2 linked regions of the Arabidopsis thaliana genome follow. The protein of the gene in region 1 interacts with the protein of each later gene in a pairwise test. Each region holds a gene or a part of one and is shown on either strand. Other genes may lie near its edges. The genes, in order: CYTC-2 and AFP3.

What was found.
Region 2: the proteins of CYTC-2 (region 1) and AFP3 interact in a two-hybrid assay, tested with the Arabidopsis thaliana proteins (one large-scale study listed by BioGRID).

Annotation. Positions count from the first base shown.
Region 1 is NC_003075.7:6,269,792-6,282,069, forward strand, and holds CYTC-2 (cytochrome c-2), read left to right. Parts: upstream 1-7,156; 5' UTR 7,157-7,291; coding exon 7,292-7,403; intron 7,404-7,592; coding exon 7,593-7,726; intron 7,727-8,397; coding exon 8,398-8,490; 3' UTR 8,491-8,831; downstream 8,832-12,278. Other genes in the region: HSD5 (hydroxysteroid dehydrogenase 5), read left to right, coding at 1-388; AT4G10030 (alpha/beta-Hydrolases superfamily protein), read right to left, coding at 699-767, 865-1,036, 1,125-1,237, 1,366-1,431, 1,616-1,717, 1,794-1,846, 1,938-1,995, 2,085-2,183 and 5 more. UniProt on the Arabidopsis thaliana protein: Electron carrier protein. The oxidized form of the cytochrome c heme group can accept an electron from the heme group of the cytochrome c1 subunit of cytochrome reductase.
Region 2 is NC_003074.8:11,377,616-11,390,115, reverse strand, and holds AFP3 (ABI five binding protein 3), read left to right. Parts: upstream 1-5,970; 5' UTR 5,971-6,458; coding exon 6,459-6,849; intron 6,850-7,395; coding exon 7,396-7,700; 3' UTR 7,701-7,902; downstream 7,903-12,500. UniProt on the Arabidopsis thaliana protein: Acts as a negative regulator of abscisic acid (ABA) response and stress responses.

The sequences.
Region 1 (12,278 bases):
ACCGCTAGAGGAATTTGCAAAGATGATTGTGGCAGGAGCTTGTAGGGGAGATGCATATGTGAAGTTTCCAAACTGGTACGATGTCTTTCTCCTCTATCGAGTCTTCACACCGAATGTACTGAGATGGACATTCAAGTTGTTACTGTCTACTGAGGGTACACGTAGAAGCTCCCTTGTTGGGGTCGGGTCAGGTATGCCTGTGGATGAATCCTCTTCACAAATGAAACTTATGCTTGAAGGAGGACCACCTCGAGTTCCTGCAAGCCCACCTAGGTATACCGCAAGCCCACCTCATTATACCGCAAGCCCACCACGGTATCCTGCAAGCCCACCTCGGTATCCTGCGAGCCCACCTCGGTTTTCACAGTTTAATATCCAAGAGTTGTAATAAAAACTGGATGGAGGAACAAGAGGTGAGGTCGGTTTGGTGTGTAGAGTGTAGAGTGAACTTGAGCTTTAGAACTTTCTCTGACCAAGTGAACCACAAAAAAAGAAAAGCAATGTAAAGGACATCGAGTCAAGAATAATACCGGATGATACAGCCATATGATGTTACTTCTGAATTACTTATGTCACACAGAACATTACACGGACACAGTGTTGATGTATATGATATTGTATCTGTCAACTGTTTTTAGACCTAACTTCTCCACAAGTATTACACAGAAAAAGAGCCGAACCAAGACCGTTCAGCACCTCTAGGCTCTGAGAACCTGGAAAGAAGATGACAAGATCCTGAAGAGACCATCCGGGTTATCCGTGTGAACCTGAACGGACACAACCGGAATACTGGTTTACGGGTTCAGTAATAGAATAACAAAGATGAAGCAATGTAGAAGCAGATGCGTAGTTAGTTTAATTTACCCAATGACCGGCATCTTCCAAGACATGCATTTCTACACCACCGCCTTCTTCAGAGGCTAGCTCTTCAGCGGCGTGGATTCGCTGAAGGTCTTCTAGGGCCCAACGGTGCAAGCTTCTTTCCGCTTTCAGAAAATTCACATGTACTCCTCTTGGAAGATTCTCAACAAAGTTCCTTTATTTTGTAGAAGCAAGTTTGCGTATAATTAGGTAAGAGCTCATACAAGTTTGTTCCACTAAACACAGGGAGGTTAGAAGATTACCATAGATTTGTCTCTTCGTAAGACTGGTAAAGTTCAGCGATCCCGTCTAGGTCAAATGTCCACGAGAAGCTAGAAGCTGATGGTCCAGTAGGTCTGAGATTGGTAATGACCCACTGCACAAGAAATATGCTCACATACATCAAGATTGTGCAACTCGACAAGTGTCAGCAGAATCAAACATACGGTCTTAAAGCTAGTTAAAATCTGATAGAAACTACTGAGCAAATGGTTATTATTGTACCTGTGCGACATCATTGGAAAACCCTTCATTTATAAGAGCTTTAAGAACCTCGCGCTTTGACAAGACCTTTTAAACCAAACAGAAAAGATGTTCATAAGCTTAAACTGTCTAGATCCTTTGGTTCTTCTGACTTCTAAGAACATGTAGGTGGTTCAAACTGCTTATTGCAATAAATCAATAACACTCTTCTTGTAATGTCCAGCAAAATTCATTCTTGTAATATTTGTACATGCATGTTCAATTAGCTTACCACTTTTGGCAATTTACGTAGAAATGATATAAGCTCTCGTGGATGATCTTCTCCATCTCCTCCTGCACGAACTTTACCAGGAGTAGCATCCAATACCCAAGCCTAAATTGGGTATAATTTAGGGGCCTTAACATAAACCCTACCAACATTGCGATATAGACATCGGATAAACACTTACTCGGACTGGTCGTGGAAGAGGCTTAGCTGCTTGCTCTACCATGCTTAATACAACTACAAAGATCATAGAAAAGACTCATCAGGAATGTTATCACGTCTGAGCAAATAATCTCGATGAAGCAATTTCATATAGACGTCAAGTCACCTTTCCCCCCAAAGCTATGACCAACAAGGACCCGAGGTGTTAACCTCAACTGACCAACCTAAGAATGGCAGAATAGAGAAAAATGGTATCAGAAAAGTCACCTACCATGAATAATCCAGTACTGTGTTGCTTGAGAAAGAAACTTACAAGTTTTAGAACATCAGAAGCAGTAGTAGCAACCGAGTGTGGACCTCTCTTCTTGAGAGATGTTGAATCCCCATGGCAACGCAGGTCTACCAATAGAAACTATGAAGATTGAATTAAGAGGAGAAGATTAGTTATTTGCAAGCCAATAAGTGTGCATCTGGATAAACAAATACCTGCCACGTTGGGAATTCATGAGCCAATCTACGAGCAAAAGTGCCTAGAGTAGCAAGACCCAAGAAGGAAAATAAGGGTATTATGATTAGCTAGAGATCTTTCCACACTATACAGCTAAACCGTAAAGTTTGAACAAAAGAGAAACAAAACTAAAAACACTGAGAAGGCATTAACAATCCCTTTCGAACAATTCAGCGATTCAAAAAGATCGATGATCTTTTTGCTTGCCACTAACAGGCACATGAAGAGATTCAGGAATGACTTTACTGGTTTCATAGTTCCTTTTATAATATTGAAGAAATTAAGTATAAGCCAAACTTGAAGCAATTTACAAGGAACCACACAACACTGACCCCAGTTTTTCCCGCTCCCTAAAATTCCGTGTAGGAGAACAGCAGTAGGTGTATCTGGAACAGATTTGTCATCCTTCCATCTCCATTTCACCTGCGTATGTATAAATCATTTCAGTCCACAATCAATCTGAAAAACAGATAATCTCTCAAACTTATGTTATCAAGTTCAATACTTTTTCCTTCACACACAAAGATTAAACACTCCAGTGAAGAAATATAAAACAGACTGGCTCTCAGATAACTTACAAGTGCTCCTTGAACAAGATCATACGCCTGCAAAACAATGGCACAAGATATAATCAATCATCAAAGTCCATGAATTCACATCAAAATGTGTTCAAGTCTCAAACTTTATGTACCAGGACCCGAGGAGGCTCAGCAACATCTTTGCTCGTTGATTGTCTCTCCTCAACTAATGCCATACGTACAGATGCTCCTTTCACTTTACGAGTTCCATGTACCAATTCCAAACGATGATTACAGAATCTGTCACTCTTCAAGTAGCGTAAAAAGTTAAAGTTAGGAACTTTATACTTGTTGATGCTAGAGAGATTGAAACAGAGAGAAGGAAAATCTCAAAACCTGAGAATTTGTCCCAATTCTGATGAAATTAGGAGAATGGATTGATGTCTTTGATCGAAACCTAAATGCACATCCTCCGCTAGAACTCGCCGTGGAGCACGAGACCGCCGACATTACAACAATTTCAAAATTGGGAAACGACGAATTCGCAATTACAGATCAAAGAAACAGAGATTCACGAGACGGAGATTGATGAAGGAAGTTAAAGAGACGGCGACAATGTGCTTCTTTTCCTCCTCTGTATTTTTTTTTTCTTGGTATCTCCGTCGCCTTTGTTTTTTACTCCGCCGTATGTTTTTGTTTCTGGTGAATCTCAGGTTGAAAACAGAGTGAATGACAGATTTGCCCCTTTTGTCGGCTTTGCACAGACTTGAATCGACCACTTGGTCGGTCCAGAGTTTCTCACCTAACTAAACACCCTCACATCTCTCTTTTTCTTGTATCAAACCTTAAATAATGTTGTAAACGTTATAATTAGGGGTGTTAAACTATATTTTAGTCCCAAAATCTTAATCCTACAAACCTAACTAAACCTAGTAAATAAATTTGATTTGATTTAACTTTTTTAAATTTTTTTCCATGATTATCCCATTAGCCATTTATGCTCGGACTTTCAATGTTAAGCTGACTGATTGTTATCAAAAATTAGTCTCATGAAAAAAGGATAAAAAAGGATTATTATCAAACTGAATAAAGAGATAGTAAAACTAAAATTGATTTGGTTTAACTTTTTAAAAAATTAGATGAGTTTTATTTTTTTGCTAATTTATGTTTATTCTTTATTTATTATTGTATTGTTAATAAAATTAGATCTATAATATGTAATTACAATTTTTATGGTTGAATTCATTTGTAACTCAAAATATCAATTTATATATTTTCATGTATAAAGCTGATTATTTATAAGATTTAATATTTTTTCACTATCATAAATACATATAACAACAATATATGATATTTTGATACAATTTATGTGTAACTATGTTAATTGTATGGTTTAAAATTTGTCTAACTCGATTATAAATAAATTAATTCCTTGTTTTATGTACTGCAACAAATTGTGATAGACTTATGATTAAAGTTTGAATTGACATCAACTGAACAAGATCTCAAGAGTATTCAAATGAAGAAATAAAAATATAGCAAAAATTGAATGTCATTTAAGTCAACACTTTTGAATATTCTATCATTAGAAATATGATCGTGTCTTGGATGATTTGAAAACGGTCTAACTTGAATATATATATATATATATATAAACTATTTTTTTTTTTATGTATTCTTCTAATATAGTATTCCAACAACATTGTTATACACTCATGATTAAATGTATAGAATTGATATAAACTAATAAGATTTCAAGAGTATTCATATGAAAAGAATAAAAAGAAAGCAAAAGTTAAAATATTATTTAAATCAATACTTTTAGATCTTCTATCATTGCATATATATATCCATATAAAAGAAATGATCGTGTATTAAATTATTTGGTAGCTCTAATGTCTTAAAGGTTTAATATTTGAACAAACTTGAATGTCAATGTCATCAAAGACTCAAAATAAAATTATATATATGAAAGTTGGGCAATTAGTACTATAAAGACTATAATTTTAGTCATTATAGAGTAGTAATTATTGATAATAAAAAATTATTAAAATAAAAAGAGTATAATAAAAGTAGTGCTTAATTTTTAACATAATTTTTTATTTATTTATTTATTTTTATTTAGAAAAAATCAATTAAGAGTAGGATTGATGATACAATTAAGTTGCTTATTTAATTTTTAATTTAAAAAATATAAAATGACACATGTCATTTTTCTTGTGTGATGATGTGTCATTCATATGGAGAGAGTTGGCCAACTTCATATATATGATTATAATCGAGAAAAAGAGCCAAAACGAGTTAGGACATCTTCAAAATTACTCTTTATTTTCAAATATGAATTTTTTTTGTACTAGAAAAATAACTTCAAAACTTTAAACTTGACTCCCAAAAATAACTTCTTTTTTTTTTTTTTGCATTTCAGCGCCTACACTTACTTATACATCAAACAAATAAGTTTACTAATCTTATTGTTTATCAATTTAATTCCTAATTTTAGATTTCATAACTATTTCACATATATCCTTATAAATTTAATTTTATACATATAAAATTAAATAAACAAAATAAATTTAAAGTATTAATAGAAAAGAAATCCTACATATTTTTTTTCTTCACATAACAATATTATATTAAACAAATTTAATACAAAATGTAGTAATAAAAGAAATAAAGTTACATGAACACATAAATGTTACAAGAAATAAAATACTACAACAATACAAAGGTCACCAAAGTATTATATATATACAAATTTGATGTGATCGAATGTTTTTTTTTTTTTTTTTGAATTTTGTTTTTGGGTATCATTCTTAGTAGTTCAAACTGAATAAACTCATTAATTTTTATTTTTATTTTGCTAGATTTTGCATATGTTGTTGAGCTATCTCATAGCTCTTTCCCTTAGTTGCTGCACTTTTATTAGTAGATTAAGAATTTATTCATTTGATGAAAACAAAATATTAACATGTGGTTTATTACTTTCGGACAATGTGATGAAATTTAATTCACCCTCATCTCTACTTAAATTGATTTGAAATGAAAACATTTATAGAGATTGTGATGTTAGAGAGTACATATGATGCACAAGTTTATTCAGTGTTTTTGTATTCTATTTGGAAGTTGTGACTTAATTTGTGAGTTTATTATTATTATTTATATGTAATTTTATATTGTAATGTAATGTTTTATTTATTAATCAATTTGCTTATAATATTTATTTAATGTATGTTTTATAGTTATATATATAAGCTTTTATGAACTAAACAATATGATAACTATAATGCAAAATACAAATTATTTTGAAGTTGAATTTGAAGTTTTATCATTGACGAGAACACTTTCAAACTTTAACTATGGAGTTCTGCAACTGACAAAAGTAAAATATCCATGTCTGCTTAAAGAAGTAATTGATTTCATTTCTAAAATCGTGATGATATTCCAATATTTTCGGATCCAAAGATGATACAGATTTTGCAGAAGAAATAAAACGAACTGCCCAAGAGTAAAAGTGGACAAAAAGATAATTAGGAGAAAAATGGTATTTTTGCAAATTTCTCTAAAGTTTTAGAGTTAAATAAGGATTATTAATTTTTCCTTTTTTTTACCTGAAAAATAGTTGAGTCATTGTTAGTTTGTTACTCATTTTACTTATAAAACTTTTAATCATTTTTACTTGAATTACATTTGGATATATCATATATGAAAATAATAATATCTTTGGTGTGTATAAAACTTCTAGAACATGAAAATTTATCAATCGTGAGTTGAATGTTTCACTAAACTTTTTAAACAATTAAAAGAATGACAAATATAGATTTCCATAAATGAAAAAAAAAGAATGGACTTGCATATTTTCATGTGTGTATATATGTATTTTATTTTTAACACTTTTGGCATACCTCTTTAATTAATTGGTTAACTTCTAAATATTACTATTTGAGAAGTGAGTTTACAACGAAATTTGAAAATTAAAGCTGTGAAAATGAAAGTTGGAATGTAAATAAAACCCGTCTTAAAATTACCTTTTACTTTGGGAGATTTGCAAAACTACCTTTTTTGTTTTTTTACTATTTTTCACTAAAAATAATATTTCATTAAATAAAAAACTATATATAGTAGTCAAGAAAATATTTTTGGGTTATAAATATAAAGGTTGTAAAAAATAAAAATAAAAAAAAACAAATATGTGAATTTTAGGCCCGAATATTTACTTTCTGAGCCCATTTGTAAGCCCACTTCCTAAACCGAGTTTTATAAAATAATAAAAAAAAACAGAAATAAATAGTCAACCGACTCAAAATAAACCACTATTTAGACGCCACGTGTACCCAGAACAAAACGTATGGCCTGTGTATCTCTCACGCCACCTCTATTTTTCTTCTGCCTCCTCGAACCTTCTTTTTCTCACTTCTCATAAAAAAGGTCATTTCAAAAAAAAATCAGAAACCGTCAAAAAGCCACCGTTGATATTTCTTCCTTGTTGCTTCTTCAATGGCGTCGTTCGACGAAGCACCTCCCGGAAACCCCAAAGCCGGTGAAAAGATCTTCAGAACCAAGTGCGCTCAGTGTCACACCGTCGAGAAAGGTGCCGGTCACAAACAAGGTCTGTTCCTCTGATTCTCTCTTAGATCCACAATATTCTGTATCATCATCGTTTGATTTTATTTGGTTACGCTTTGTTCGAATCTGGATCTACCACATGCGTTTCGTTTTCTCGTATTGATCTTCGTTTGTGTTTGTTTAGGATCCGTATGTCTTTATTTTGAATTTTGGAATTTTGTTATGAATTCAGGACCGAATTTGAATGGATTGTTTGGAAGACAATCTGGAACAACTCCAGGATATTCTTACTCTGCTGCTAACAAAAGCATGGCTGTGAATTGGGAGGAGAAGACTCTTTACGATTACTTGTTGAATCCTAAGAAGGTATTTGATTGCTCTTTAATCTTTAATGGACTTCGATCATAGAGTCTGGTGATTAAGGTTCTTGATTGTTCATAAGCTAATTTGTGGATTAGTGGTCTTTAGTTTTAGAATATTTGTTGCAAAAGGAATTATGAGTCTTTATACCTTCTTAAGTATTGTTAGGTTGATCTAGAAACACAATTTGTTTGTTCATTTCGGTTTGGTGCAAAAATCTCCATATTTGTGAAATTGGACATCATCTTTCAAAATGGTACACTAATAAGTGCAACATCTCAATGTTGTGCCATTTGTTTTCTATTGCATGTTCAAGAATATCAAGCAATTAGCAACATTTGTTTTGGTTAATACTTGAGTCTTTCCTTCACTCTTGTCTATTGTCTCTTTATTGAGCTGATTTGTGGAATTTTCCACAAATCTTATGATTCATCTTTCACTCTTTAAGCTGGTGCATCATAACCTGTGTGTGCATCATCATCTCAACAGTGTTCCAATTTATTATATTGCATATTCTAGAATATCGAAACATAATATTGTCTGTCAAGAAAATGCTGTTTGGCTAATACTGACTCCTTTCTTCACACTTTTGGGTCGCTTGTTTCTTTTTGAGCAATTATGAAGAGATAAGATCTCAATTTGATTGAATTGGTGTGGAATTTCTTTGCTTGTTACAGTACATCCCTGGAACAAAAATGGTGTTTCCTGGACTGAAAAAACCGCAAGATCGTGCCGATCTCATCGCTTATTTGAAGGAAGGTACTGCTTAGACAGGCTCGTCCAGATATATGAAGCTGGCATTTTTTTTTCTCACAGCTAAATAAAATCAGACCAAAAATATTATGGTCATGAACTGCTTTTTGTATGGTCTTTTATTCTTTCTTTCTTTTTACGTTGTTGAAGAGGCTAGTTGCCTCTTATAAAGTGGAATATTCGTTATTGATGTGAAGAGCTAAGAACCAATTTCCACCACGATAGTCATGAGATTTTCCTAATTCAACTTGCCTACTTTTGTTACGAGTTTAGAATCTTTTTTTCAGTTGTTCATTTTCATTTCAATAATTAGACAAATACGTAAGAGATGCGCATAATTCAGCTAAATCAGTAGAACATAAAAGACAACATAAAGGAAAATCTGACAGTGTTACATTCATTTTGGAAGATAAAGTTGAAGCATTTTGGCATAAAATAAAAATGGTGGATCATTACGAGTTGCCATATGATAAGTGGCATAAAAGATTATTTACCACCTAAGATGCATATATAAAGTGAATTCCTATGCAGCATAGTGGTTCTATAATTAATGCATATTATTAGATTTTATTACCCCACAAGAACATTTGCCACATTTAAGCTTCAAGAACAGCTTTTGGTTCTTTACTTGGAAGCTTGCAGCCTAATGAAGAGTCTTGCAGAGATCTTGGTTTGTCTCTCAAAACTCCTTCCCCAAATACTCGCAAGCAAGATTGACCTGTTTTTTTATTTTTCTTTGTCTAAATATCATTGGGATATCCTACTATATTATTTGGGAAGTACATTTTAAATATAACCTTTGTAAGTAATTACATAAGTATGCCATTAGAAATAAAATTTAAAGAGTAAATTAATTCATCTCTTTAAAAATTTAAGTTAAATACTAATTTAATTAAAAAACGAAATACATTATTAATTTCCAAAAAAGTAACCAATCAAAATCAACAAATTAGATTTGATATCTAAATTTTATATTAATTTTTTATTAATTATTATAGTTCACCTCTCATCTTTATATGATTCTATTTTTGCGAAAAAATAATATCATCGTTATAAAAAAATAATTAGAGTTGCTTCGCATATACCATAATTTGAATTTTTAAAAACGAATATAAACTGTTCAATACATAAAAAATATTATAACGGATCAAAAATAGATTTAAGAAAATTTTCTACTGAGTATTGGGTCATAATTTGAATATTTATATTCAATTTCATACATATTATTTTAAAAATTTTTAATCTTATATACTACAATAATTAATAACATATTAGATTTTTTTTATGTGTATGATGTGATTCAATATTTAATAGAAGCTGGAAAATCCTAGAATTGACGGGTTTAAGGGCTTGATTGGTTCTCCCTTTACCACCCGCAAACGCAGCGTTTGCGATTGGTAGCGATTGTTAGCGATTGACACCAATCATAGAAACCGCTAGACATCGCTTTGGACCGCTCGAAATCGCCCGTTTTCAAAAGCTCCTTCCCGCAAGCGTTTGCGGTTGCGGGCGGTAGCGGTTAGGTTAAAAAAATAATATTTTTTTAATTAAATTAAATAATGGTGGCTTCCACCCAAATTCTAATCACTATAATTAAAATAATCTAATCTTTTATATATCTTATTTTTATCAGAAAACCTTAATCAATATATTGTAACCTTATTATCTCAATTATGGCATTCGATGAAAATCAAAATCAAGAATCAAACATAACTATCATCTATCCTTTTATTCATTCATTAGCTAGTGTAATTCTTTAACTATTTCATAGCATCGTTGTTTATTCATTCAATAGTTTAGTTGTTTTGGATATTTAGGTCCAAATTTAATTGACATATTTAGATTTATAATTATAATCTTAGATAATTAGATAATATTACGATTAAATATAATTAATATTTTGGATGTTAAATTAATGTTTGGGTTTTTGAATACTCTTTTTGGGTAACGGGTAATTTCCGGGCCAATCGGATATCCACGGGTTTACTAAAACTCTACCCAATAAGGAATTTTCAAAACGCTTGATAACGCTTGAAACCGCAACCGCCCGTTTCCGCAAACTCCCGCAACCGCAACCGCACCCGCTGCGTTTAAAACAGTCAGGCCCTAAATCGATATTAATACAAGATGGTATACTACATGTGAAACTCTAAAATTAACAATCAAAATACAAGTGTATAATTTTAAACACTAAATAATATGTTTTTTTAAACACTAAATTTTTTTGAATAAAAAGTAGTTAGTAAAACATATGTTTTTTTTAAAGAGTTTTTAGATAATTAAATCAGAGAATATTGGGCATATGAGTAACCCATTCGAGTTCGGGTAGAACCCGTTCGGGTTTGGGATTAATGGGTATATGATTTACTACCCAATAGAATAATTATAAATATTCGGTTCTGGTTCGGGTCTGATCCAGTTGGGTTTGGGTCAGTTTGGATAAAAAGTTTCAGACCCTAAAAATACCCAAAAAAATAGAAACGGTAAATTTGTATGTAGATAGCGCATCTCCAAACAAAAAAAACTTTTAAATTTGTTAAGTTTTAATAAATTTAATTATATCTGAATATATTTTACTAAATTTTGACAAACATAATAAATAATTTTTGAATAGTTTAGTTGTTTTGGATATTTAGGTCCAAATTTAATTGACATATTTAGATTTATAATTATAATCTTAGATAATTAGATAATATTACGATTAAATATAATTAATATTTTGGATATTAAATTAATGTTTGGGTTTTTGAATACTCTTTTTGGGTAACGGGTAATTTCCGGGCCAATCGGATATCCACGGGTTTACTAAAACTCTATCCAATAAGGAATTTTCCTAAAAATTTAACCCGCCCTAACCCAATTTTTTGGTTCGGGTATTGGGTTGGTTATCGGATCCGTTTTTTCGTCACCCATATCAAAGATAATCTAATATAGGCCTTAATTAGGTCCACAAATATAACAAAAATAGTATACAAAGACTAATTCTAAGTTAGGCCAAAAATTAGATCCTCTAATACAAAGAAAACATGTTTCTTACCAAAACAACTTGTATACAAATTTTACACATTTACTTAAAACTACATATATTATATTTATTATAAAAACAACATTTTTAAACAAAATCAATCCAATGCAACATTATATGCAAATAGTAAAAACAGTAAATAATATTATGGCATAACTTTTATACTATACAATTTCTTATGTAATTCAAACAAAAGTATACAATTTAATTTATACAAAATATTAATGTCCGTGTTGTATAGCACGCGTTATGATCTAGTTTTTGTGTATAAATCAATGTACTATCAGATCCATTTTATAGTAGCTTTGGTGTAATATTGATGATATATATACTACATATTTGAAAGTTAGATTTTTCATATATCGATCAGACTGATTTTACCTTTTCTCTTTGCTATCGCAAAACGGCGGCGTATCAGTAGGCGGTATTCAACAAGTTTGTAATGGCTGCTTCTTTATCCAATTCTTTTATGTATATGGAACGATAATGTGTTCACAATTCGCTTGGGAAATTCAAGATCATTCCAAATTGCACGACCAACAAAAGAAACCAAAAACATGTCTTCGATGGTCAAAACTATGCCAACACGTGTAATTTCTAGCCTTATTGAGACAACACTTTTTGTTAAAACTTTATCTTCTTTTCCTAAACAAAGGATATATTAATTTCTAAGTCGAAATTTTTCGATTAGTACGAGCGTTACATATATGGCTAAGACCAGATTCACCAGAAAGAAAGAGGCTAATAAAACAATCCTCTTGCCTGACTTGTGGGTCACTC
Region 2 (12,500 bases), on another chromosome or scaffold:
TAAGATATCATCAAAGAATACAAGGACGAATTTCCTGAGATATGGTCGAAACAAGTCATTCATAGAAGCTTGAAATGTTGCTGGAGCGTTTGTTAACCCAAAAGGCATCACTAAAAATTCATAGTGCACATCATGAGTATGAAAAGCAGTCTTTGCCACATCCTCTGCTCTCATTCGTATCTGATGATAACCCACTCTTACATCCAACTTCGAGAACACCACAACTCTTCTTAATTCATCCAATAACTGGTCTATCATAGGTATGGGAAACTTTTCAGGCACAGTTACACGGTTCAATGCCTTGTAATCAACACAAAAACGCCAGCTTTTATCCTTCTTCTTAACTAATAACACTGGACTAGAAAAGGGACTCTGACTTAGTCTGATAATACCAGAATCCAACATCTCTTGTACCACTGTCTCCATTATCTCTTTTTGTGCATGAGGATATTTATAAGGCCTGACACTAATTGCATTATTCCCTGGTGAGATAATAATTGAGTATTTTCTTCCTCTCAGTGGTGGTAATCCTGAAGGAATCTCAAACACCTGCTCATATTCTCGCAAAACTTCCCGCAGTTCTCTAGGTAACAGTTGTTCTCCCAGTTGTAACAATTGCTGATTACACAGCTCCACTTCAATTCTTTTGGTATTCAATGTAAATCCACTAGAGAGTGATTTACATTGAATACCAGTGCCAATTTCTCTGCATCATTATAGCCATCAGTACGAAAGAATCGCTCCACCCTAGCGATCCAAGAGTAAATCCCAACTCCTTCAAACACAGCCATCTCCACGTTCTTGAGTAGGTTTTCTCTAATTCCTGGCCTAATGTCACTATTGTATGGTTCCGGGACAGAGATGATTATGTCGATCTTGCGATCTTGTAACTCCACCATGACTAGACCCTCCAGTCTCTGGCGCCGACGCTACTCTAGGCAAAGCGCGAAGCACATTGTTAATCTTCTTCCCGATATCCAACAATTGTTGGTCATGACGTGCAATTTGAGCACTCAATTTGACTCGTACAGACTCCAACTTTGAATCTGGTCTTGAATCAGATCTTCGAATCTTGTTACTCATGTCCGTCAATTGTTCGTGAACTTCAGTTAACGACGCCGTCGTTTGCTCTGCCTCTAATATCTCCGTAATCGACGGTAATTCTGGTGTCGTCACCATCTTTGATTGAAAAATTTCTTCGATCTCTCAAAAACCCCACATCACTCAAACCCTAACTTTTTCCAGCGATACTTCGATCTCGATCACGAACGCACCAATTGATAGAAACAAGATGTAATCTTTATTAACAAACAAATAATCGATATAAATTGTTTCAGAGAAGAGCTCTAGAACATCTCTAGATCATCACTCTATCTCTCACAAATGACACATAATTCAAATGCACAACAAAACAAAACATGAAAACTTCTTCTGAAAGCTACAAAGTTTATATACAAATGTTTATTCGCACGTGTCTTCTTCTTGTTTTCTTCTCTTCACACGTGCGGCTTGGATCTTCTTGTGTACACTTGATATGGGTTATCATAAAACTTGTTTAGAAGTTGTTGAAAAGCAAAGGTATAAGTCTAGGGTGCTAGCTAAGGGCTTTTCACAACTGGACAGTGAGTTAGAGCAGATGAATTATATCAGTGTATCTAAGGCTCACACAAGTAAATGACCGAAAATTCTTAAGAGGGATGTAGTACCTGGTATGAAGTTCCAGCATTGTTGTGAGCTTCCCAACATCCACTGAAGTAGAGCAGAGCAGCGGCCCTGGTAACTTCAATAGTCTCATAAAATAGGACAATCAAGCTGAGTTATTTTTGTGAGAAGTACTCAAGTGTCAGAATTGAGTTTGGTCAAAAGGTGGAGATTGTTATTTGGGTTTGACTAAACACATCATTTGGGCCTTTGTGGGCCTGACGAAAATGGCATGAAGAGAAAGAAGAACAAAAGTGGTACATTACATATCACATATATAATATCTTTATTACAACTTACAAAGAGAAGTTGTGGTAGTTGTGTGACAAGACAAGCTAAAGAGAGTTCTAGAGAAGAGAGATAAAAAGCTTCCAAAGCAAGCTTTCTTCTTCCTCTTTGTTGTTCTTGAATCTTGTTCTTCTTGTGTTTAAAATCTGAAAAAGAACCAAGGACATCACAAGTTAGTAGTGTGTGTAACCTCTTTGATATAGTTAAGCTTGGAAGCAAGAGTCCTTCCCCGAGACGTAGCGGTTAGCCGTGAACTCAGTTATCAAATTTTTGTGTTTGTTTCTGTTACAAGATATTATTATTCTTAATTTTCTCTACAGATTGGATTGATCGCCGAGATAATGATACCTTACGTATAAAAGATGTAATTGTTAGATTGGAACAAAATATTGCATATCGAAACTTCTATACAAAGTATCAAATTCTTGTCATACTAATTAGTGATTTTCAAGGGGAACTGCCAAATTTTTGTTAACATATACCTAACGGGTCACAAGTGGACATAAAAAACTTTCTTATTGGTTTTAATGTTAAAAGACTTAAACAGCTTACACAACGATATCATGTTTTGGGCGTCAAAGTTTAAACACATTGATTGATTCATGTTAAGTGAATCAATGTACCAGCACATGTCATAGCAAAGGGGTCCTTTACTCCTTTTGAGTTTCTCTTTTGATTCAAATTTGTATTCATTTACCAGATTGGTTAACTTTAGTGGGTACAGCCCAACTTAATGAAATTAAAAGAAACCATAAACAGCCCAACAAGAAGGAAATAAAGTGAAACAAATCAAATATTAATGTGACACAAATTTAATGTAGTAAAACTAAAAACTAATTTATTAGTAATATAAAACTGGTATAACTTGTTTAAATACTAAGACGCAAATATTAAATTACACGTAACAAAAAGATTACAATTCAAATGATATCATAATTGATTAGTTCAATACCCATTATAAACACTCATTTTCTTTATCTGAATAAAAAATCGTTTTTTTCCTCTACACTTTCTAATTTGGTTGATTGTTTTGCTTATCTGTTGTGAAACAATGTCAACGTGTCAAACACCCACAGGAATGACGTCGATAGACCGAAACAATAAAGTTTGGGGTTAAAAAGAGTTAAATCTCTGTGAGGTCCACCATCTGATCTCTTGTCTGATTTCTTGCGTGTTTCTTTCTCTGCAGATTCTCTTCTTTCGTAAATTATTTTTCTTTTTGTTGTTGTCAATTTTCATACGTATCTTTCACATGCTTTGTCTTCCTTTCATTGAATTTATTCAATTTAATTATTTTGGTCTATTTATCTGCATTTATACATGTTGCAATATTTGCGTTTTTATGAGTTTGAACGGAGAGATGGATTGGTCCTAAGATGTCATCATTCGCTAGTTTGATGTAAATTCAACCAAATACGAATTAGTGACGATTTTGTGGTTGAAATTGTTCATAAAATCATTACAACATTAGTGATTTTATTGTTCTGACATCTAAATCAGATCAAATATACAAATGTTATGTGATATTGATTTTCTACTAGTTTTCCATGGCATTTCATTATAAGCTATTAGCAAACAATGTCTTTATTCAAACTGACTTTTAAATATAAAAAAAGTTAGAATTATTACTTGTATATTTTGATGCTTAACTTTTTCTTCAACTCGGAATAATTTAGAGAATGATTGAAGAGTCCGACCTTTCAAAAAACATACAAAAGTAAAAAATAAGTAGTGAAAAGTCCAAGAAAAAAGAAAAAAAAAACTATAAAAGTGTAATTTTTCTAAGAGAATCTATATGAGAATGACTGCATCGTCTTCATTCGAAATCCTAAAAAATGCGGATATCTAGCTCTGTAGATCTTTTATATTTACCATATTTTTTTTGGGACGGTCATCGATAGCCTAAGCACTCAAAGTCTGACGACCCAACGAAAGGTGGTGGGCTAGTGGTTCTAGTCTGGTGGAAGTGGTCCTGTTTGTTTAAGTCAGGGATCGATTCTCTCCATATGTAGAATTGCTTACTTTTATTTTTTTGACTATAAGTATAGACATGCTACTTAAGATCTATTTAAAAACCCGGAAGATATCAAATATATAGGATATAGGATACCCTCTCTCTAGGAATTAATCATGAACCTTTCCATAGGTTCAGAGATTTACCAGAAATTATAAAAAAAAATCAAAGTTTGAACTAACACTTATAAAATATATATTTCTAACCCGAGAAAAAGAGACATTGTCTAAACATGTAAATTTTATTAACAAATAGACGGATAAAGCTAGCAAAGAATTAGAGTGTGACAAAAAAATATTGAAAATATGATTGCTACTAGATATATTAATACTTTATAAAAACTTGTTATAAAAAAATATCCAAAACTATTTGACTTCCTATGATATTAGTTCCAAATAATTTAAATTTTAGATATTTAGATATTTGGTTGTCTGTATAGATATCTTCTTTTTCTGAACTGCAATGGATATATGCATTTATAAATATGATGACCAGAAACTTTTAAATTTGGATAATTGTTACCAATTTGGAAAGACATATCATAAAACAATTTACTTACAATAATAATAATAATAATAATAATCTTGTGGATAAATTATCAAAAATATTTTGCTCTATTTGCTATTTATTTCATGAACTCTTATATTCACTTCCTTTAGTTTTAACCAATCATTATGCCATGGCATATAATAATTTAATATAAATTAAAAGTTAGACAAACAAATAAAATAAATAAATTAAGAATTAATTGTAAAATCTGAATCATATGCCCTTTTTTATAAACTCATAACAACATATAATTTCATTAATTCTAAAATTTAAACTTTAACCACTTTTTATAAAGAGTAAATTTGGAAAAATGCCCTATTTTTGAGTTTTCATTTGAAAAATACCCTATTCTTTCTTCCTTTTTAAACAATTAATTTTTAATATATAAAAATACTAAAATAGCCTCATTAAAATTTAAGAATAACTTTTTAAAAAAATAAACTTAAAACAAAAAAAATTCATAAACTAAAATTTGATGTAACTAATAATTTTAAAGATAATTATTATCTAAGCTGATATATGATTTTATTTAATTTGTAAAAACTATAACGCAAACCACTCTTCTATAAACGTATATAAAATTTTTAGATATTTATATTTATAAATATGACTGCAGAAGTTTTAAGTTTATGATAGTTTTTAAAAAGCAATTATGATAGTTAGTAACAATTTAGAAACACGTATAATTTAATTTCTTTGTTTATTTTTCAAAAATATACAAAAAATTTATGTCAGCGATTTTATTTTATTTTGTATGGTATATGACTAATTTAAAAGTGGTACTAATTAGTATTATAAAAAATTATTAAAAAGTATTTTTAACCTTACGACTCTATTTTTTTACAAGTTACAAATGTTTCATAAAATTTTATTGTTAAAACACTATGATCTAAGATATTGAAACCCACGGTCAAAGTATTGCTAACATGGTCATTACATTGAAAAAGAAAATTAATTGTCTTTACTCATGTTTATTCTATACAAATAAAAATATTAACCAACCATCGCACTAACAAAATAGAAATCTTATTCTAATCACTTAATTGTTGACAATTAAATCATTGAAAAATACACTTAAATGTCAAATATTCGTTTTGCATACTTTTCAATTTAAATACATTTAAAGTTCGACAAGTTGCGTTTACTATCATAGAAAACTAAATCTCCTACCAAAGCGAAATGAAACTACTAAAGCGACAGGCAGGTTACATAACCTAACAAATCTCCACGTGTCAATTACCAAGAGAAAAAAAGAGAAGATAAGCGGAACACGTGGTAGCACAAAAAAGATAATGTGATTTAAATTAAAAAACAAAAACAAAGACACGTGACGACCTGACGCTGCAACATCCCACCTTACAACGTAATAACCACTGAACATAAGACACGTGTACGATCTTGTCTTTGTTTTCTCGATGAAAACCACGTGGGTGCTCAAAGTCCTTGGGTCAGAGTCTTCCATGATTCCACGTGTCGTTAATGCACCAAACAAGGGTACTTTCGGTATTTTGGCTTCCGCAAATTAGACAAAACAGCTTTTTGTTTGATTGATTTTTCTCTTCTCTTTTTCCATCTAAATTCTCTTTGGGCTCTTAATTTCTTTTTGAGTGTTCGTTCGAGATTTGTCGGAGATTTTTTCGGTAAATGTTGAAATTTTGTGGGATTTTTTTTTATTTCTTTATTAAACTTTTTTTTATTGAATTTATAAAAAGGGAAGGTCGTCATTAATCGAAGAAATGGAATCTTCCAAAATTTGATATTTTGCTGTTTTCTTGGGATTTGAATTGCTCTTTATCATCAAGAATCTGTTAAAATTTCTAATCTAAAATCTAAGTTGAGAAAAAGAGAGATCTCTAATTTAACCGGAATTAATATTCTCCGACCGAAGTTATTATGTTGCAGGCTCATGTCGAAGAAACAGAGATTGTCTGAAGAAGATGGAGAGGTAGAGATTGAGTTAGACTTAGGTCTATCTCTAAATGGAAGATTTGGTGTTGACCCACTTGCGAAAACAAGGCTTATGAGGTCTACGTCGGTTCTTGATTTGGTGGTCAACGATAGGTCAGGGCTGAGTAGGACTTGTTCGTTACCCGTGGAGACGGAGGAAGAGTGGAGGAAGAGGAAGGAGTTGCAGAGTTTGAGGAGGCTTGAGGCTAAGAGAAAGAGATCAGAGAAGCAGAGGAAACATAAAGCTTGTGGTGGTGAAGAGAAGGTTGTGGAAGAAGGATCTATTGGTTCTTCTGGTAGTGGTTCCTCTGGTTTGTCTGAAGTTGATACTCTTCTTCCTCCTGTTCAAGGTACATTACCATAGTTTTTGTGATCTTTCATGAGTTTGTTGAATTTGGATTAAGAGATGATTTTTTTTTTTTAAATCTTCAAGATTGAGTTTTGCTTGTTTAGATCTTTGATTATTGATTAGGGTACACGACATTGAATCTTCTTTTGGATGTAGTGATATCAACATATCATTTTACGATTATTAGATTCCCTTAGGATGGATTCATTGTGTGGCATTGTGATTGGTTTGTTGTGTTGTTAGCGTTTTTGAGTCTTTGGCTTTTCGTTTTATTTCGTGTCTTTCACTAGGTATCTTTTAGGTGTCTTAGAGTTCGATTTTTGGCCATTTTAGGTATTGTTAGTGGAAAGAAACAAAGTTTGGTGCGTTGTAGTTACTACATTGTTTGTGTTTCCATTCCAAGGGAAAAAGTATGTTCAAAAATGCACAATGTATCAAGGGATTATCGATAATATTCGAAAGCAAACATTGTATATCTTCTAGGCTTTGCAAAGTTTTTGTTGTCTTTTGTTTAGTGTTTTACTGAAATACTTACTTGTGTTTGAAGCAACAACGAACAAGTCCGTGGAAACAAGCCCTTCAAGTGCCCAATCTCAGCCCGAGAATTTGGGCAAAGAAGCGAGCCAAAACATTATAGAGGACATGCCATTCGTGTCAACAACAGGCGATGGACCGAACGGGAAAAAGATTAATGGGTTTCTGTATCGGTACCGCAAAGGTGAGGAGGTGAGGATTGTCTGTGTGTGTCATGGAAGCTTCCTCTCACCGGCAGAATTCGTTAAGCATGCTGGTGGTGGTGACGTTGCACATCCCTTAAAGCACATCGTTGTAAATCCATCTCCCTTCTTGTGACCCTTTGGGTCTCTTTTGAGGGGTTTGTTGTATCGGAACCATGTTACAAATCCTCATTATCTCCGAGGTGTATAAACATAAATTTATCGAACTCGCAATTTTCAGATTTTGTACTTAAAAGAATGGTTTCATTCGTTGAGATTAATTTTAGACCTTTTTCTTGTACAATGTTTAGTCTTTGAGATAATATACCGGCTTGTCTAATTTAAGTGTGATACATATTAAAGATTGTCACGCTAAGGTTAAATTATTTAAAGAGGATCGTCTTCGTTTCTTATATGTTTTCTATTTTCTGTTGGTGGTGATAACTGTTTTTCTTACATCAACGACGAAGATTTGCCAATACTTGGACACCCTTCAACAGAGCCGGCCCAAGATAAATTCTTCCCTAAAACAAAATTTATTTTTGGCCCATCATTAAATATAATCTACTCTATTATTTGAAACGTACATTTAATGAGGTGGGCATTTCGCAGAAATAACAAGTTTGTCATTGAGTTAAAATTTTTCTATCATGAAAAACCCGTTTAAAAAGACGCGGATCCTTTTGACCCGAATTTTAAAATAACGGGTCATAACTTCTAATCTTAGCCATTCAATTGATTTTTTTTTAGCCGTTGATTTTCTCCAGTAAAGTTTTGAAACCCGACCCGGATGATGAACCGGACTACCTTCTTGGTCACCGGGTCATCGGGTCAACCGGGTTGGACCACGGGTCAATTAGTTAAAATTTATTTAATAAATTTAATATTAATAGAAATTTTAGAGTATTTTATAAATATATATATATATATATTTTTTTAGTATTTATAAATATAAAACAAAATAATCATATCATGTTTAAAAAATATAAAATTATATTATGTTTACCAAAATATAAAATTATTTACACCCAAATATATATATATATATATATATATATAATCAAACAATAATAATAAAGTGATTAAAAATTTTAAATCCAACTAAATGTCTAACACCGTAACAAATATAGTAGGAGATCACCAATGATAGAAATAAACTAATAAAACATCGTGAATTCAAACAACTAATCTCAATTGTCTCTCTCACCATTCGATTCATTTTTAAGGCGGTATTGTAAAGTCTTCACCAAAATCTAAAACATCGAATGAATTTAAGAACTGAAAAAACTTTTAAAAATAATTGAATAAAGTCTAAAATCCCATATTTTACTGCAAAATCAAAAAAAAAAATTAAAACCCACACCCGGCCGGTTCAACCGGTTCACCGGGTCACGGGTTAATTGCGAGTTTTTGAGGGTTTTTTCGGTTTTGAACTTATCGGGTTTTAGCACTAAACCCAAACCGGAAAACTAATTATACTCCTATATCAATACGGATTTATAATATTTATTATATTCTAAAAGATTAATAATCCAATCAGATAATTTTTAAAACATTTCCTAATTAAATATAACAAATCGGTTTTATATATATATAACATTATAAATATCGAATTAATATGTTTGAATTCGAAATTAGCTTAAATATTCTAAATTTATTTAAATAACTAGAAAAACACTTTTAACTAAACTATTTTTTTATGTTTGATAATTAAAATATAAAAATATGTTTAAACATTTTAAAATAAAATGAATTAAATTTTCGGTTTATATTAATTTCTGTTAATTAAATTAATTGAATTCCTTTTTCAGCAACTGAATCATATTAATTGAAAATATTCAATGCGTATATTTCTTTCTTGAATTCGAATATATCACTTCTCCATAATTATAGGTAATCAAATATTTAGTTGGATATTCATTTTTGAATTAGCATAAAGTTTCTGAACAATTTCCATAATTAAATAACTACTTATAAGATAATAGCTAAATAGTTTCCTATAATTATGGGATTCATCATAATTTGTAAACTTGAATTCCACGATTTAATATTTTATGTATATCTTTTACCTAAAAATTTATATCTTATAAATACTGTACGTCCCATTTCAAGAACTCACTCAGCAATTTCTATTTTCTTTTACTCTCTCGCCTCTTTTTTTATTTTAGCAGAAGAGAAAAAGACCATGGAGAAAACTGAGGTTTTGGATCGACGAGACCATGGAGAAAACTGTAACGCCCGTGAACCGGAAAATCGGTTAAGGTTTATTTTTAAATCATCCGATTTAATTGGTTGGGTTAATTGGAAACCCTAGAGTGTGCCTATAAAAGAAGGAAACTCGAAATTAGGGCTTTAGTTAGCCACTTTTCGTTTTATAAAGGAGAAAAAGAGAGAGAAGGAGAAGGAGCAGAATCGTTAGGGTTCGTGAGAAATCGGCTTCGACATTTTCCTATAATTATGGGATTTATCATAATTTGTAAACTTGAATTCCACGATTTAATATTTTATGTATATCTTTTACCTAAAAATTTATATCTTATAAATACTGTACGTCCCATTTCAAGAACTCACTCAGCAATTTCTATTTTCTTTTACTCTCTCGCCTTTTTTATTTTATTTTAGCAGAAGCGAAAAAGACCATGGAGAAAACTGAGGTTTTGGATCGACGAGACCATGGAGAAAACTGTAACGCCCGTGAACCGGAAAATCGGTTAGGGTTTATTTTTAAATCATCCGATTTAATTGGTTGGGTTAATTGGAAACCCTAGAGTGTGCCTATAAAAGAAGGAAACTCGAAATTAGGGCTTTAGTTAGCCACTTTTCGTTTTAGAAAGGAGAAAAAGAGAGAGAAGGAGAAGGAGTAGAATCGTTAGGGTTTGGGAGAAATCGGCTTCGACATTTTCCTATAATTATGGGATTCATCATAATTTGTAAACTTGAATTCCACGATTTAATATTTTATGTATATCTTTTACCTAAAAATTTATATCTTATAAATACTGTACGTCCCATTTCAAGAACTCACTCAGCAATTTCTATTTTCTTTTACTCTCTCGCCTCTTTTTTTTATTTTAGCAGAAGAGAAAAAGACCATGGAGAAAACTGAGGTTTTGGATCGACGAGACCATGGAGAAAACTGTAACGCCCGTGAACCGGAAAATCGGTTAAGGTTTATTTTTAAATCATCCGATTTAATTGGTTGGGTTAATTGGAAACCCTAGAGTGTGCCTATAAAAGAAGGAAACTCGAAATTAGGGCTTTAGTTAGCCAACTTTCGTTTTATAAAGGAGAAAAAGAGAGAGAAGGAGAAGGAGCAGAATCGTTAGGGTTTGGGAGAAATCGGCTTCGATATTTTCCTATAATTATGGGATTCATCATAATTTGTAAACTTGAATTCCACGATTTAATATTTTATGTATATCTTTTACCTAAATATTTATATCTTATAAATACTGTACGTCCCATTTCAAGAACTCACTCAGCAATTTCTATTTTCTTTTACTCTCTCGCCTCTTTTTTTTATTTTAGCAGAAGCGAAAAAGACCATGGAGAAAACTGAGGTTTTGGATCGACGAGACCATGGAGAAAACTGTAACGCCCGTGAACCGGAAAATCGGTTAGGGTTTATTTTTAAATCATCCGATTTAATTGGTTGGGTTAATTGGAAACCCTAGAGTGTGCCTATAAAAGAAGGAAACTCGAAATTAGGGCTTTAGTTAGCCACTTTTCGTTTTATAAAGGAGAAAAAGAGAGAGAAGGAGAAGGAGAAGAATCGTTAGGGTTTGGGAGAAATCGGCTTCGATATTTTCCTATAATTATGGGATTCATCATAATTTGTAAACTTGAATTCCACGATTTAATATTTTATGTATATCTTTTACCTAAATATTTATATCTTATAAATACTGTACGTCCCATTTCAAGAACTCACTCAGCAATTTCTATTTTCTTTTACTCTCTCGCCTCTTTTTTTTATTTTAGCAGAAGCGAAAAAGACCATGGAGAAAACTGAGGTTTTGGATCGACGAGACCATGGAGAAAACTGTAACGCCCGTGAACCGGAAAATCGGTTAGGGTTTATTTTTAAATCATCCGATTTAATTGGTTGGGTTAATTGGAAACCCTAGAGTGTGCCTATAAAAGAAGGAAACTCGAAATTAGGGCTTTAGTTAGCCACTTTTCGTTTTATAAAGGAGAAAAAGAGAGAGAAGGAGAAGGAGTAGAATCGTTAGGGTTTGGGAGAAATTGGCTTTGACATTTTCCTATAATTATGGGATTCATCATAATTTGTAAACTTGAATTCCACGATTTAATATTTTATGTATATCTTTTACCTAAAAATTTATATCTTATAAATACTGTACGTCCCATTTCAAGAACTAACTCAGCAATTTCTATTTTCTTTTACTCTCTCGCCTCTTTTTTTTATTTTAGCAGAAGAGAAAAAGACCATGGAGAAAACTGAGGTTTTGGATCGACGAGACCATGGAGAAAACTGTAACGCCCGTGAACCGGAAAATCGGTTAGGGTTTATTTTTAAATCATCCGATTTAATTGGTTGGGTTAATTGGAAACCCTAGAGTGTGACTATAAAAGAAGGAAACTCGAAATTAGGGCTTTAGTTAGCCACTTTTCGTTTTATAAAGGAGAAAAAGAGAGGGAAGGAGAAGGAGCAGAATCGTTAGGGTTTGGGAGAGATCGGCTTCGTCATATCAAATCGTGGTCAAAGGTAACGAAATTTGGTAGAGTTATTCCCATGTCGTTTATCGTTATGCTCCAGTTTACAGAACTTGTTTCGTGAGACACGTTTTCTCAGACGCGAATTGGGACCAGCAGGGATTGAAATTGAGATCGTGGTCTCGTCTGTTTTCGATCGGGACGATATTTTGTGGGAAGCTTCGTGACGTCTAGGGATAACGTTTCACCAGAGCGATTT